Linked DNA regions of Arabidopsis thaliana. The protein of the gene in region 1 interacts with the protein of each later gene in a pairwise test. Each region holds a gene or a part of one and is shown on either strand. Other genes may lie near its edges.

Region 1 (7,456 bases):
TTCTTCCACCGCGATTGATCATTCCCGGAACCCTAGATTCATAAATCCCCGAATTTGAATTCGATTCCACCACAGTCCCCATTATACTATCGATTCCTTCTTCAATATCCTCATCGAGAATCGATTCAGCATCGAATTCGTCGGAGAAATCAAACTTTTCGATTTCACCACCGTAGCAATCTCCACCGGAGTTAACTTCCTTCTGGTCTGAGAAAAACTCTGTTTTCGTTTGAATCGTTGGATGAAACAGAAAATCAGGTTCTTCGATTGATTCATAAGGAAGAAGCAAATCAGAAGCGTCGTCGTTGTCACTAAGCAATGGCCCGTAGAAGTGAGAGTTTGATGAAGAGTGAGTTTTTTGCTTAGAGGACAAGTTTGAGGAGAAGATGTTGGGATAAGCAGTAGAGAGAAGAGTAGCTGCTTCGTTGTAAGTCTGGTTTGGTCTTTTGCGTTGTGTTCTTGGCTTTCTCGTTGAGATTGCGAGTGGTGAATTTGATGATTCGGAGATTGTTGATGATGGTGAAGTAGCTCTTGTTGTTGTTGTTGAGGATGATGGTGGTGGTGATTTCACTTTTTCTAACTCGAAACTATATGCTGCTGCTCCTCCTCCTCCGCTGCTTAAACACGCCGACATTTTTTTTGTCCGGTGAAATCGGAAAAGAAACAAGACCAAAACTTTGAAGATTGTAAGAACTTTTGTGAGTGAGAAGAGAGTGATGAAATTAAGATTTTTGCCTTTTGATTAAAGAATTGTGTTTAATTTTAAGATAATAATAAACCCTTAAAACCCACTGAAGAAACCTTTTTTTATTTGGTGAGAAAATACAAAATTGAAGGGGGAAAAAAAGATCAAAACTTTAGGGAAAGAGGAAGATTCTGCTAACAAATGTTCATCATTTGAAAGAAAGAGCTAAGAAAACCCATTTGGAATCTGAGATTTATGTGTATGAAAACCAAAAGAATTGGCCAACGAGTGAGGTTTTACAGAAAGAAGCTAATTGGTTTGTGAAGAGGGAGAGAGAGATTGGAGGAGAAAGAAGAGTCACGAGATATATAAGAGGAGAAAGATTAGGGTTTTAGTGAGAGCTTAGTAACAAACAAAGGAGAGTTTAGTAAATAAATAGTGAAGAGCGTTTTTTTTTTTTTTGGTTTAGGGGTAATTTTAACTTTGAGAAGAGAAGTTGTGGAGAAACAGAGAGAGTGGTGGGAAGAAGAAGACGAGAGAGAGAGAGAGAGAGTGAGCGAATGGTGAAGAAGGGACAAGATAGCTCGTAATCGGCAATTCTGGAATGAATGGGGTCCACCAGTGGATTTTTTCACTTTTTGTATTGATTTAAAATTACTTTGTAAAACGAGTTTTCTTATGGATAGAGATACTTCCACGACTAAAGATTTCTATTCCATTTCAGAAATAGCCATTCAAAAGGTTTATAAGGTAAATTTTGTTACTGAAAACTCTTGGCTAATCTACAATGACTGGTGTTTGAATCAAAGTAAATTTCTCTATTTATTTTTTTGTTATAATGTTAATTAAGAAAAAAAGCTTTAAACAATGTTTGAGAGTTATTGAGAAATGATTTGGAGATTGAAAACAAAATAATGAAAAATCAATTGTTAAACCTATAATAAAGCGATATGATTGTGGCAACGATCGGTCATAATACGATTGAATTAAATTTGTTATGTGTTGATTTAACAAATTTATTTGTTCATTAACATTTACTCAAAATATAAAATATTAATTTTGTGACGATTTGGTAATAATGTAATGTAGCGACGATCGTTCATTCTTAAAGTTAAATTTTTATGTATTACATTAATATAACGACAGTAAGTCATTAATTCAAATTGAGTAAATCTTTTATGTATTGATTTATTGATATTATCCACTTGTTACACAATAATTTTTACCCAAAAATTTAAGATATTATTTTGCATATCGATCTTGTGGTGAGTAAGTAATATAACAGCGATCAGTCATTAATTTGAAAGGGGGATAAATATTTTGAGTGTGATTTATCGAAATTACTCATGATTGAAAAATATTAATCACATCATCGATTAAGTGGTAAGTAATGATGTAGCGCCGATCAATTGTCTAATCCAGCCTGTGGCAGTATTATATTAGTTGAGGTTGAGGATTTTTCTTCTTAGTTGATACCAAAAATCGAGTTCTACCATTCACAATATTTAATTTCAGCTCTTTAAACTAGTATAGAGTTAAACAAATTTATCCACTATTAGTTTTAGTTTCAATTTAGAGTCACCATATATTAGTTTAATTTTTGTTTCTATTAATTGCAGGTCCGGCTCTACACATGTGCCGGAGGAGCGAGGCACAGAGTCAACCCAAAATTTCTCTTTTTTTTGAAGTAAATCTAATACAATTACGATCCAAAAAAAAGATTTACATAACAAAACATAGGAAATGAGAACTAATTTTTTTTTCAGCTCTGGGTCCTTTATTATTTTGAGCCGACCCTGATTAATTGTAGCTAGAAGTGAAGCCATATATTGGTTTATATTTTAGTTTATGATATCTAGATTTTAAATAGAATTCGAAGTTATATTTTTTTACAGGTTTTGTAGAAGATTTTATTTAAAATTTGATATATATTTTTGATAATAGTAATAGTTTTAATAAGATTTCTCAGTTTTAATTTATTGATTTGGTTGTGATATCCGATTTCTGTTCTTCTTGAATAAAGTTTAACCAAGAAAAGATGCTCAAGAGTTTAATCCAGGTTGTTTAGTGAGTAATAGTCATTAATGATCCTTTTTGACTGGAGGGAAATGTGATTCTGTTTTTGGATTATTTTCTAAAAAGATGTAAAAACCACATCATCATCATCCAAATCTGCAAAATCTTTTTGGGATCTTAAAGAGAAAACGAGGAAAGGTCACCTTATCCATTGACGTGGCACATACCCATTGGCTCTACTAGATTTCTTTGATGACGTGGTGCTTTCTCAATTAACTGATTATGGTCGCCTGGTCGGAGACGTTTTCACGTGTTCTTAAAAAACCGACTTTATTATTTTACTAATTTCCCTTTATTAGTAAGATTTTTTTTTTTTTTCAAATTTACTAATTTAGCATATTTGGGAAAAAAATATTAGCATAAATTGATACTTTCTTATCTATATTTTAGATAATTTTTTGGATATATATATAGACATGATAATTGAAAATTTATTTCTTTCATTGACTTACTTTTTCAAGGTTAGTTTTATGTTAAACTTTCAAACGTTTCTGCAAAAGAAACATTAGAAAAGTAACGGCCGTAATATAATATCTATAGCTAATTGGCTATATTAGTAGAAGCAAGCTTACAAAATTGTCGTATTTACAATATAGTTATTAAATAATAATTAATTTAGTTTAAAAACAAAAGTGTGGAAAGAGAAAAGTGGTGGGCTAGTGGATTTGTGTATGTGAGAGAGAAAAAATGATTGGAACCTTTTTGGGATCATTTGAAGTAATTTGTGGCGAAAGCTAAACCTACGTTTACCTCATTAGGTTCAATGACTCCTGGTTAGATATCTGATTTTCTATTTAGATATGTTTGTTTATTTTATGTTAGATATTCCATTATATGAGATATGATACCCACGAGTCATCCGTCTATATCAAAATTGAAATTGTATTAAAACATTGTGATTACATATACTTAAAACGAAATAAACCCAAATAAATTAAATTAAAAAGGAACTTGCAAGAAAAGTCGGTAGACAAAAAAAAATCTTCGTAGAACTTTGAAATGTAGAGAATTTTTCTTATCTAAAGAAGTTGTGCTGGAGGGAATTTGAACCTCAAGAAAAAACAGGATAAACCTTGTTATGGCACTGCTCCAAAGTAAGTTTTGTTCTTATGTTATTCTTATGTCAACATGTGACCTCTCTTCCATTTCTTTACTAATTCTTTACCATTTTCCCGTAAAAGTTTTGTTGGATAAAAGTACATTAATAATTTCAATCGTTGCAGCATGTGTGATTGATGTACTTTATACCCGGATACTGCTACGTCAAGGACATTAAGGAGAGATAAAACTAAATAGATAAAACTCTGTGACTAAAGAGATAAAAATATGTGACTACAGAGATAAAACTATGTGGCTCCCCTGTTGTGAGTCGTATTTTGAGTATTTATTTATGTGGATTTTAAAAGGATTATGGATTAGATAACATGACTAACACGAAGAATGAAAAAAGTGACATTTATTTGTTTATATATAGTAGAAGAAGAAATTGTTGAAATAAAAGAAAAAATGATTTTGAAGAATATCTCAGCTGTCGTTTTCAGTGTTTATAATTCACAGCTTGATGACCTTTATACGTAATTAGAAAGAATGCGGCTATGTTAAAACTTAAAACCCTCGAATACCATAATTCTGACTGTCCTATAAAATTCAAAAATATTTCATTTGTACAATCAGACATTGTAGACAACTTGTTTACAATTATCTTACCATGTAGTTATTTCGGCCACATCTAATGGGTCTTACCATTTTTTGTTCTTATACTATAAGTTAACATAAACCACACGAGAATATATATCATAGATGATACACAAAAATGAAATACATGTTGTAGGCAGCAAAAAGAAAAACAACTCTACAGAAAACATATCTCATCTTATAAAACCCTATTTAACCATTCATTTGGATATTGAAAAACCAAGTAAAATGAAAACACTTATAGCTAAGAAAAAAATCTACATGAGACTAGGCAGATCTGAAAATGTGAACTTATAGATTTTTATCAAATGGGTCATGGCTCAAGAGTAAGTAACCCAAATAGTTACAAACAACAAGTGAACTATTTCTTCTCTTACAGATTGGAGGGGACCATTAAAACTATCTATGTCTTGCTCTATATTTCAAATTCTAATTTTTTTTTTATTATCAGCATGGGTAATAATGCAATAGCACAACTCTTTCATAGATTGCCTTCCATGCTTATGATAAACTGTTGATATCCAAAGAAGGAAAACAAACAAATAAGACAAGTAACTAACTAGATAAATATAGACAATTCAAAAGATAAATGTTAGATTGATAGATTGAGAGTAAGAAAAAAAAAAAAACATACTTCGAGTATGTACGGACAAATCTATAATACACTTTATTGTGACTTAATGTCTTATGTTTCAATAAATGAAATATGAAATAAAGATACTATGATACAAATCATTATATACACATACAATTTTGAGGTCAGGAGTCAGGATTCATAAATAACAAAAAAATAAAAAAAATGAAAAACACAGTTTTAGTAATATTGGTAGTATTTAGAAAATGGGATTTAGCTAGTGTGGGCTTACATATTGTGATTGCTTATACAACAATTGTCTTTAAGCCGATTTTGATTGTTCGAGTATAAGTGATGCTAATACTAATTCAAGCCAATTGTCATTAGAAAGAAATCATAAATTCTTTTCTTATGGTTATCTAGATAGTCACTTATTCTCTCGTTCCTTACTCATTCATTGGATCCGAAAAACGTTAAAAGCTTATCATAAGCATGGAAAGACAAAAGTGAAAGAGTTATGCGATTGCATGATTCTCCATGCTCATTCCAAAATAAAATAAAAAATCGAAATTAGGAAAAACATAACTCTCTATTGGTCCCCTCCAAAATGTAAAAAAAATAAAATTGATATTTTACATTTGGGCTGAAATTTGCATTGTAGGCCCATGGGATTCCGGTTTGATAACTTTATATTGCCCAATTTTATATCGATTTTTAATTTCAATTTTAAAGATAAAAGTAAATGAACTGGTAAGCCACTGGTTTTGGTTCTGCTCTTACCGTTATCCCAACTTCCATATCCAAACTGAAAGACACTGGTTTTGGTTTTGTCGGGAAAAGGAGAAACTTCAAAAAGATGCCCACTTTGAATCTCTTCACTAACATACCAGTCGACGCCGTCACTTGCTCAGACATCCTCAAGGACGCCACTAAGGCCGTCGCTAAAATCATCGGCAAACCTGAATCCGTAACCAACTCTAACCCTCTGTTTCGGCCATTTCTACGCTAATTCATAAATTAAAACTTCAAATTTTGTTCCTGTTTAGTGTTTTGATTACATGAAAGCAGAGTAGAATAGAAATTTCCTTTTGTTGATAAGGTTCATGACGTTGGTTGTATTATGCACATGAAGTGTTCGATGGAATTCCTCTCTGAATTGCAATTCCTCATAACTTAACTCTTGAGAGTTCCCTTTAGATTACCAATTTACTAATTCATGGAACTTTGTGGAAACCAATAATACAGTATGTTGACAATATCACTAAAGGATTCTTAAGCTTGTGTTGTGGTCTTAACTTGTGGGCTACGTCTGTTTTCTTCTTTGTTTTCAGTATGTGATGATACTGCTTAACAGTGGAGTGCCCATTGCATTTGCCGGTACCGAGGAACCTGCTGCATATGGAGAATTGATATCTATTGGGGGATTAGGACCTGGCGTAAACGGGAAGCTTAGCGAGACGATATCTGAGATTCTCCAAATTAAGCTCTCCATAGACAGCTCTCGCTTTTATATCAAATTCTACGATTCTCCGGTAAGTCCCCTTTTGCTTCAAATTCAAAGCTTTGCATAAGAAAGATCTCATTCTCAAGAACTTATATATAGAATGCTGATTTAGATTAAAGCTAGATGCTGATGATGGGCTATATAAATTAATATATGGATACACACTTAGATGAAAGCACGATGTTCTTTAGTTCTTATAAACTTGATCAATGAATAGAATGTTAGTTAAATTCTTTGTTTTGCTTTTCTTTGGCAGCGACCTTTCTTCGGTTACAATGGATCAACTTTCTGAAAAGAGGCGAATTCAACCTTGTAATGATATTTGGGTTAGAACTGTTTGCTTATTCATTTCAAAAGCTGTAATTCTGAACCATAATTTATAATTTTACCTCCCTCAAAGCCAATATATTTCGTATTTAAACTGCTTTTGGGCCTAGTTTGTCACTTGTGTGATATGATCTCATAATTTTGTCAATACTACTAAAAATGTAAACTGCAGCCCAAAAAAAAATTGTAGCCCATAAATCCACTTTGACGATTTTCTAAATTAATATAGTACACATTGGACTGAATTGATTGATTAATTAAGTTACAGGACAAATGTGTAATATAGAATAAATAGTTACTGGGAGAGAAGACCGAGTCACTGTAACTTGGCAGGTCTTACCAAAACCGGCCGTGCAACTTTTCAAACGCGACTTCCTTCTCCGGCAAGCAATTCACGCCGCTGCTCAGTGATTCTCCGTCACTATTTCCCTGATTAACCATCTTCTCCGGAAGAATCTATAATTCCGGCAAAGTAAGATGACGGAGGAGATCAAATTCAGCGTACTGGTATCTCTCTTTAACTGGATTCAAAAAAGCAAAACCTCATCTCAGAAACGATCCAAATTCCGCAAGTTTCTCGACACTTACTGCAAAC
Region 2 (8,250 bases), on another chromosome or scaffold:
CCGGGAATCGCCTTTGTGGAGTTTGCTGATGAGATGCAGTCGACGGTCGCAATGCAGGGACTTCAAGGTTTCAAGATTCAGCAAAACCAGATGCTCATCACGTATGCCAAGAAATAGACAATTTCGTTTTATTTGTGTTTCGATGAGATATGTTTGTATCTGTCAATGTTACTTCTTCCATGGTTTGCGCAAGAAGGAAACTTGTCTTTCTTGTGTGTTTGTTGTAGAATTGCTTAGAATATTACACAATCATCTAACTTACAATTTTTTCATCCAGACAATAAGCGTCTCGATTTGGTGTTTGTCTATCTAATATTTCGTCACCTTCTTCCACTTATGGATAAGCCTCTTCTTCCATATTTGATCAGATAACTGAAGACCTTTAATTTGACTGATTAAACGAAACTATAATGAATTAAAGTAAAAAACTCGCAAAGTGAACTTTAAACTAAAGGTTTATGGATGATTGGTTTGTTCTTTTTTATTTACGAATTCTTGGATATCTAATAAAAGAGAAACAAGAAGCAATCATTATTTGATGTTGGATTGGTGAAAGAAAAGTCTTTGTAGTGTAGCTGTTTTTCTTTGTTGCTGATGAGGTCAGCGATTATTAGGTCCAAAACTCGTGCGTCAAGAGAATTGAGTGAGCTCTCTCCTTTTTTTGAAATATTGGGCGAAGGACACTCCTCCATGCATTTAAGTTATCAAAAGCATTAATTAGACGATGGTTCAATAAATGAGTGAGCATTTAGTGGGAAACACGAGTGTGATACGGACACGTAAAAGCATTAATGCATGTGTTTATAGATTTGGTGATGACTTCATTGTCTGACTCTGTCTCCTCTTTTTACAAGACAAAAGATTTGTTGCTGATTCATCTCTGCCTCTCTGGTCTGTGTGACACACACTGCCTAATTAGTGTTATTCTGTATCTCAGCTCTTGCTTACTAGCTTATCTTAGTACTTAGTAGTAAAACATTAATGGGTCATTATGTATATGTCCAATGAATCACCACTTTAAACATTAATGGATCACTTGCTAGCATCTTCAATTACTATATAACAATTTAACTAGCTATAGTAAGACCATTAATCTAGAGATCATATTTACCTATCCTGAGTCCATGTGTGGACTGAGGAGGATTATACATTAATCATAGACCATATATATAATATACACAATCAACTAATGAAAGAGGGAGGAATGGTATCAACATAGGGACCTTTTTTTTTTCCATGTTAGAGAAAGTTAGGACAACACGCAAAGCCCTACGTGCACTCTTTCATTATTCCTCTCTTCTTTTGCCCCCAACAGTCTTTGACGACCCACCTTGCCCTTTTGACCCTTCTCTCTCACGCACATGTATGTTATTAATTCAAATGGTTCTTTTATGCTTCGGCATTTATCATCATGATATACATACATATCGATCGATAGAGGAAAAAAAAAAATCATTTATGTAGTAGAAAATTTACAGATATATATATATATATATATATATCGTATAATGTATATCAATATTTGAATTTGAAGAGTTTCAATATAAACTGAAACAAAGTTAAGTGTAGATTATTATTAGTGAGGAACTAGTGGATATCCAGTTTATTTTGGTATATACCGGTAATTCATTCTAATGAAGTGAAAGAATATGGATACTGTATTTTTTTACCATGCCATAGAGTAGATGCTAGCTAAAGATTAGTCGTAAGAGAGGTCTAAGGTCTTGCTTGTCAACGCGTGACCGGCTTCATAGGATCCTAGCAATAAGACAATATGGTACGCCTAGCAACCTAGCACTTATATATGTAGAGTTTGTGAAATTTAGGGCAGACAAGCCCCCACACTAAAAAAACAGTAATATGGAATAAAAAAAAGCTTTCAAAACTTAGCAGTTATTAGACAAGGTATTGTTTGGCCCTAGCTAGCGATCGTTTAGCTCTCTTCACTCTCTCACTTTTTTAGTTCAACCCTTCTTTTGCGTGAGATGCCATCATGGCATGGTATGGTTCTTTTGCCTTACGTAAAACACACTCACGCCAGCACACACACACACACACATAACATATACGGATGTGCGTGTGAGCTAGTCTTCCATTAATGCAATCTTTGGGCCTATATATACAAACCTTTCCATAACCAAAGTTCTCATACTACAAACGCCCCTCATGTGCTTGGAAATGCGGGTGAGAATCTCCATGTTGGAGAAGCAGGGCACGTGCAAACCAACAAACACGAAATCCGTCTCATTTGCTTATTTGCACGTACTTAACTTCTCCAACATGAGCTCTTCACCCATTGATGTTATATATCCCTTAAACCTTATTGATAATGTGTTTTTCGTTGTTCTTGACTAGCTCTTCGTTGTTTGTGTGTATATGTGTGTTAAATCATTTGTGTTCGACGGTTGATTAAATCTTTATAGTTCTCATATATGTAAGTGTTGCTTTGGTTATTTTGAACCTTATTGTGTGCTGACCAAAATGTAGCGTTTCTAGATGGGATTGACGGTGCACAATGCACATGAAACTAAAAGGGTAATTTCAAGCTCTGTCTTCGCCATATATAGTTCTCATTGAGCTCTTTGGCTTGCATTAATTACGAGAGTGTTTTCGAACTTGTGGTTGTATACTTCACTGCATGGACCGTTATTCGTTTCAAATTACCTACAGAGTTATACATTTAGCTTTTGTGATGGTTTTTGCAGCATATGTAACGCATTGATCAGAGGTTCATATACACAAAATGGAACGAATATATGGAGAGTCCCATGATATGTAAGATCGAATTAATCACTTGTTTGAAGATCAGAAACTGTACTTTAGCTACTTTAATCTCTAATTTTGTCATTTTCAATTTTTATTCTGGTTTTACAATAATGTTAGTTTTATCTTCATTTTTATAAATCTTTTTTTATATGTGTAAAAATGGCAAAATGATAAAACATAGGAAACTTATAATTGAGACCTTTATGATTTTAAATAAATTTATTATTCAAAAATTTTAATTTCAAATTTTATATTAATTGACAAAATATATTTCAATAAAACTGTTCAGAACTATAATAGGATTTAAAAATGTTAAGAAAATTCGTATTTTTTTCCTTCATTAGTAGTGTTTATAATAGAAAAAAATCAATCAATATTTCTAAAGTTGAAAATAAAATAACAGTGCTACGATATATTTTAAATACATTTTATTAAAATATTTGATCTAAACAGAAGAAATTGTGTGGGGAAAATCGACGAGAGCTTATCAATTCATCTCACACTCTTCTTCACTCTCTTCTCTCTACACACACACACACACACACACACAAAATGGATTCTTCGAATGTTGAAGAAAACCTAAACCCAGAAACAAAATCCGCAGAAGAACAAAACCCACTTGCCATTTTCCATTCTTCTCTACCAATCGCATCTCTTTCTCTGACCTTGTTCCCATCCTCGACTCAATTTCTCAAATTGTTTGCTCATCATCCAAACAAGGTTAAGATCCCTACGCAGGCTTCTTCTCTCACTCATCTCTCTCTTTCTTCTGTCTCTCCTTTTCCTTCTTCCAGAATCTCTTTCAAATCCACCATCGCTGCTAACCCTCTTCAATCCCCTCTCTCCATCGTCCCTCGTCGTCCCGTTGATCCTTCCTCCGCCGCCGCTCTCCGCCGTGCTGCTGTCGTCTGGTTCCGCAATGACCTCCGTGTCCACGACAACGAGTGTCTCAACTCCGCCAACGACGAGTGCGTCTCCGTTTTGCCCGTTTACTGCTTCGACCCTAGAGATTACGGCAAGTCCTCTTCCGGCTTCGACAAAACGGGGCCTTTTCGTGCCCAGTTTCTGATTGAGTCCGTTTCGGAGCTCCGGAAGAATCTCCAAGCCAGAGGGTCGAATCTAGTTGTCCGTGTCGGGAAACCTGAAGCTGTTTTGGTGGAATTGGCTAAGGAGATTGGAGCTGACGCGGTTTATGCTCACAGAGAAGTGTCTCACGACGAGGTTAAAGCGGAAGGGAAGATAGAGACCGCGATGAAGGAGGAAGGCGTTGAAGTCAAGTATTTCTGGGGAAGCACTCTCTATCATTTGGATGATTTGCCCTTCAAAATTGAAGACTTGCCGTCAAATTACGGAGCTTTCAAGGATAAAGTCCAGAAATTGGAGATTAGGAAGACTATCGCAGCGCTTGATCAATTGAAAAGCTTGCCCTCTCGAGGAGACGTTGAGCTTGGCGATATTCCTTCTCTCCTGGATCTTGGCATTAGCCCCACTCCTAGGACTAGCCAGGTTTGAGTTCTTCATCTTTGCTTAGCTTGATTGATTCCTTTATCCATCTAGGTTTAGGCATTTAGAAAAGGTGGAAACTTGTGGGACTTATAATTCAAACTCTGCCAATTGGTTCCATTTCTATAGGAGAAGAGCTACTTACCCATAGAGTGATAGGGATAAGTACTATCAAGTGTTAATAGTAGTAGTGCTGTTTGAAGGTCCATGGATTCTTCTTAGGATCAATGAACGTTTCTCTTTAGGTCCAATATTCGTCTGCGGCTCTTACTGTCTTACACCTTCTCTTAGGAGTTAACATTTTGTTCTGCTCAGGAGGGGAAACCGACAATGGTTGGAGGAGAGACAGAGGCGTTGACTAGACTAAAGAGCTTTGCCGCGGATTGTCAGGCTCGGTTGAGCAAGGGAAACCAGAAAGGAGGCAACAACAGTGTCTTTGGTGCAAACTTCTCTTGCAAGATATCACCTTGGTTAGCCATGGGAAGCATCTCTCCTCGTTCCATGTTCGATGAGCTGAAGAAAACAATCTCCGCATCAACCACCTCCACAACTCCAAGGTAATGTCTCAGAAACGCAAAACACTTCAGGAAACTCTGGTGAACATAGTAAGTGTATGTGTCTAATTATCATTCTTTGAAATGATTTTCTCAGGAACGGACCGGGAGATACAGGACTCAACTGGTTAATGTATGAGTTGCTATGGAGGGATTTCTTCAGGTGAGCTCTTACTTTCTTAACTTGCCCCCTAGTAGAAATGTAGAATTTGTATTTTGTCTGATTCTCTCTTTGATGTGTGTTTAAACTTGGAACAGGTTTATAACCAAGAAATACAGCTCAGCGAAGACGCAGGTCGAGGCTGGTCCGGCTACAGCCTGTACCGGTGCCTTTGCTTAAACATTTGAAAACTTTCAGGTGACCGGAAAAGTTAGAAGCGACCTGTTTCTTTGCCCTACTCTGGTGTATGGTGGATTAATTTGCTATCCGGACAGGACTTTACTGCTCTCTTTTGAAACTTGAGTGTCAGGAGAATAAAATCTAAGCTTCTTTTTTTGGCTCAATCAAGTTGTCCGTTCCCTGTTCTAAACATTTCGGATACTCATTCCATAAAAAGTCTCTACAATTTGAGACGCTCTCCTTTGTGGTTAAGACTTGAGAATGTATCTTAGAAAATAACCGAAGTAGTTGTGTCTATGAATATTAAATTCAGGAATATTAAGATGTCACTAATATCAGAAGCAAGCAGCAACTAGAATATGCACTTCGTGGTAAATGGGCATTAGAAATTCTACAACACTTATTAAAGAACCGTACTAAACACTAGTTACTTGGATGAAAGTTACATATAAAAGTTTATATTAATCGACTAAGATTATTTGCTTGACTTTAGAGAAAGTTTGCATATATGTACCACAAATTGGTAACACTGCAAATAAAAAAACAAAAAAAACTGCAGGATAATGAAAATGTACTCCATATATGCACCTCCTAACTAGAGATGAAGCCTCCAAAATCATAGTCAATATGATTTATATTTGCAACACATATTTAGCCAACTGCCTTTGAACTTTGATAATTATATAAAACCCCCTTAACAAGTAAGAAAAACAAAAACTGAGACATGTGCAAGTAAGCTAAGACTTTTTCTTCTACTCATGGGGTTTTTCCTTTTGTTGCTTCTTCTATATGACGCCTGAAACTTTCAAAGAAGAAAGAACAACGAAGACGACCCAAAGCATCATGAAATAGGCAGAAGTAAGCCAAGCCCATAGCCTTGGACCTCCAAGCTCAGCTCCTATAATCAACCTTCTCAACACAAGCACCACGATACATCCCACTGATGTCGCAAAGAATATCAGAAGCGAAAAGCTTAATCCTTTAGCGTTTTCTATGTATAAAGGCTCTCTGTATGCAAAGTAGTTGTAGACTGTGTTTATCAGCCACGGAACTCCAATCCCCACATAGATGTTCACCGAGTTACTGCATAATTTATCACCAAAAAGATCATGAAAAGATCTTCAATGTTTGTAAAGGGTTTTGAGATTTTTACCTGCAGGTGATGTTTGCAATAGCTGAATCTGCGGTTAGTTGTCGCTCTGCAGCGATTTTACTTGCTACTAAGTCTGGCCATGAAGTTCCACTTGCGAGTGCTGTGAATGCTATCACATATGGGTTTATTCCTGCAAGATGAAAAGAGTTTCTAATGTTTTAGAGCTCAAATGTTTAATCTTATAACTTCAGTTTTTGAAAGCGGTGAGGGTGTGTACCAGTGACACAGCTTATAAGGTCAGTAAATCTTGTGACAACAAAGGCTACTCCACTGATGAAGAGGAGAGAGCAGATGAAAGCGATCCAACCGTGAGCAATGTTGCAGGGGGGCACAAATGCAAAAAGCAGTTTCCAAGGGGCGAGGAGTAAATGCCAGAAAGATTTCGCGATTCGAAGATAAATGCTATCCACTTTCTTTGATTCTGATGTTTCCAACTGTTTGATTACGAATAGGAAGAGAAACAAGTTAAGAAAGATGTGTTGATAATGATCAAAAGCCCAAAATAGGATATAGAAGAATCTAGAAAACACTTGGTAAGTTGAAGATTTTTACCGTTATTGCATCCACGAATTGATGTTTCCAAATGTCAAAAACAGTAGAATTCTTCGCCTTACCCTTCTTAGTCGCAGAATCGGGTGGAGTATCTGCCACAGTATGATAAGTGATCCCTGCAAAAGTGTTTGTTACAGGGAAAGTTTGATTTATAACAATATACTACCAGAGATAAATATGGGAATCACATAGATTTGGAAATAAGCAAATACGCTAAAACTGATCTTATATCAATAGAATAGACAGCCTAATCATACTTAGTACCTGTATCATTGTTAGCTGAATGAATAGAGAAGATATCAACAATGTTTCTGCTTCCCGATTCAACAGCATCTTGAGCAGCATCCGAATACACATCATGAACATCATTGTCATTGTCATCTTTGGATGTATCAATCTCCTCTGGAACCCACTCCTCTGGCCTATCACCTCTTGACCTGCAAGTATCAAATACAAACACAAAGATACAATCTTTAGTAGAAATCCATTTTGAAGGAACTAATATTATTGTCTGGAAAAGAAACCCACATTGGTAAAGACAAGTAAGGCCATCGCTTGTCTTGGGCGTACGCATGAACTAGAAGCAATCCGTATTGCAGTACTGTCAATAATGCCTCCACAAGTGTAATTACGTTTGGTGACCACACCTGTGAGACGTGAAAAGAAACAGATTTTTAGACCTTATCAGTATAGAGTATAGACTCAACAGAATCTGTTTAAACCGCTTTTCACAGTTACCTCGAGGATTATGTATAGCCAGATGTAAGCCCAAAAAGACCATACGAGCTCAACTAGCCAAACACCTAAGTCGGATATCTTTTTCAGTTCTCCAGCTTTTGGCACAACGACACAAACAGCGTGGATGGGGAAAAGATCAAATGCAGCTGAGCCAACAAGTGTTCCAGGACCAAGACCTATATGACAAAACATGATATAAGAATTCATGAACTTAAAAGTAAAAACTAGAGTTTTGGAAGGAAGAAAGGAACAACCACCAGACCTCCAGCATACCGCTCCCCCATATTCCGTATTGCATCGATGGTAGCCAAAGAAATCTGAGGGAAGCTAGTTCCAAACGCCAACAAACTGATGTCTGCAATAGTAAAGTTCCAAACTTTCTTGTATGTGATGACTTCAGCTTTAGTAATGGGATCAATTGTAACCACTTTACGGGAATGTTTCACGACATTCTCCATAGACTTGAAGAACCGTGCAGTGATGGCTGACAACCCAATAAAGCAGTAGGCAAGACCGAGAAAATATAACACACCCCTCAAACCATCTGACAAAGTGTTTTCTCCGGGGAATAGAAAGAAGTTTTCACATCTTAAATGCCCAAGAACCTTAGAAGATTCTTGCAACTCCTGGGTTTGATTAAGAAT

Evidence for each region. The genes of interacting proteins can lie anywhere in the genome.
Region 2: the proteins of AT5G57170 (region 1) and PHR2 interact in a two-hybrid assay, tested with the Arabidopsis thaliana proteins (one large-scale study listed by BioGRID).

Annotation. Positions count from the first base shown.
Region 1 is NC_003076.8:23,161,571-23,169,026, reverse strand, and holds AT5G57170 (Tautomerase/MIF superfamily protein), read left to right. Parts: upstream 1-5,762; 5' UTR 5,763-5,886; coding exon 5,887-5,997; intron 5,998-6,361; coding exon 6,362-6,601; 3' UTR 6,602-6,790; coding exon of another isoform or gene 6,791-6,826; 3' UTR 6,827-6,956; downstream 6,957-7,456. Other genes in the region: CIA2 (chloroplast import apparatus 2), read right to left, coding at 1-634; ATLIG4 (DNA ligase IV), read left to right, coding at 7,339-7,456.
Region 2 is NC_003071.7:19,518,570-19,526,819, forward strand, and holds PHR2 (photolyase/blue-light receptor 2), read left to right. Parts: upstream 1-3,204; 5' UTR 3,205-3,318; coding exon 3,319-4,272; intron 4,273-4,584; coding exon 4,585-4,826; intron 4,827-4,920; coding exon 4,921-4,986; intron 4,987-5,081; coding exon 5,082-5,163; 3' UTR 5,164-5,526; downstream 5,527-8,250. Other genes in the region: spliceosomal protein U1A, read left to right, coding at 1-117; MHX (magnesium/proton exchanger), read right to left, coding at 5,949-6,246, 6,317-6,446, 6,534-6,750, 6,869-6,984, 7,133-7,305, 7,397-7,515, 7,607-7,782, 7,869-8,250.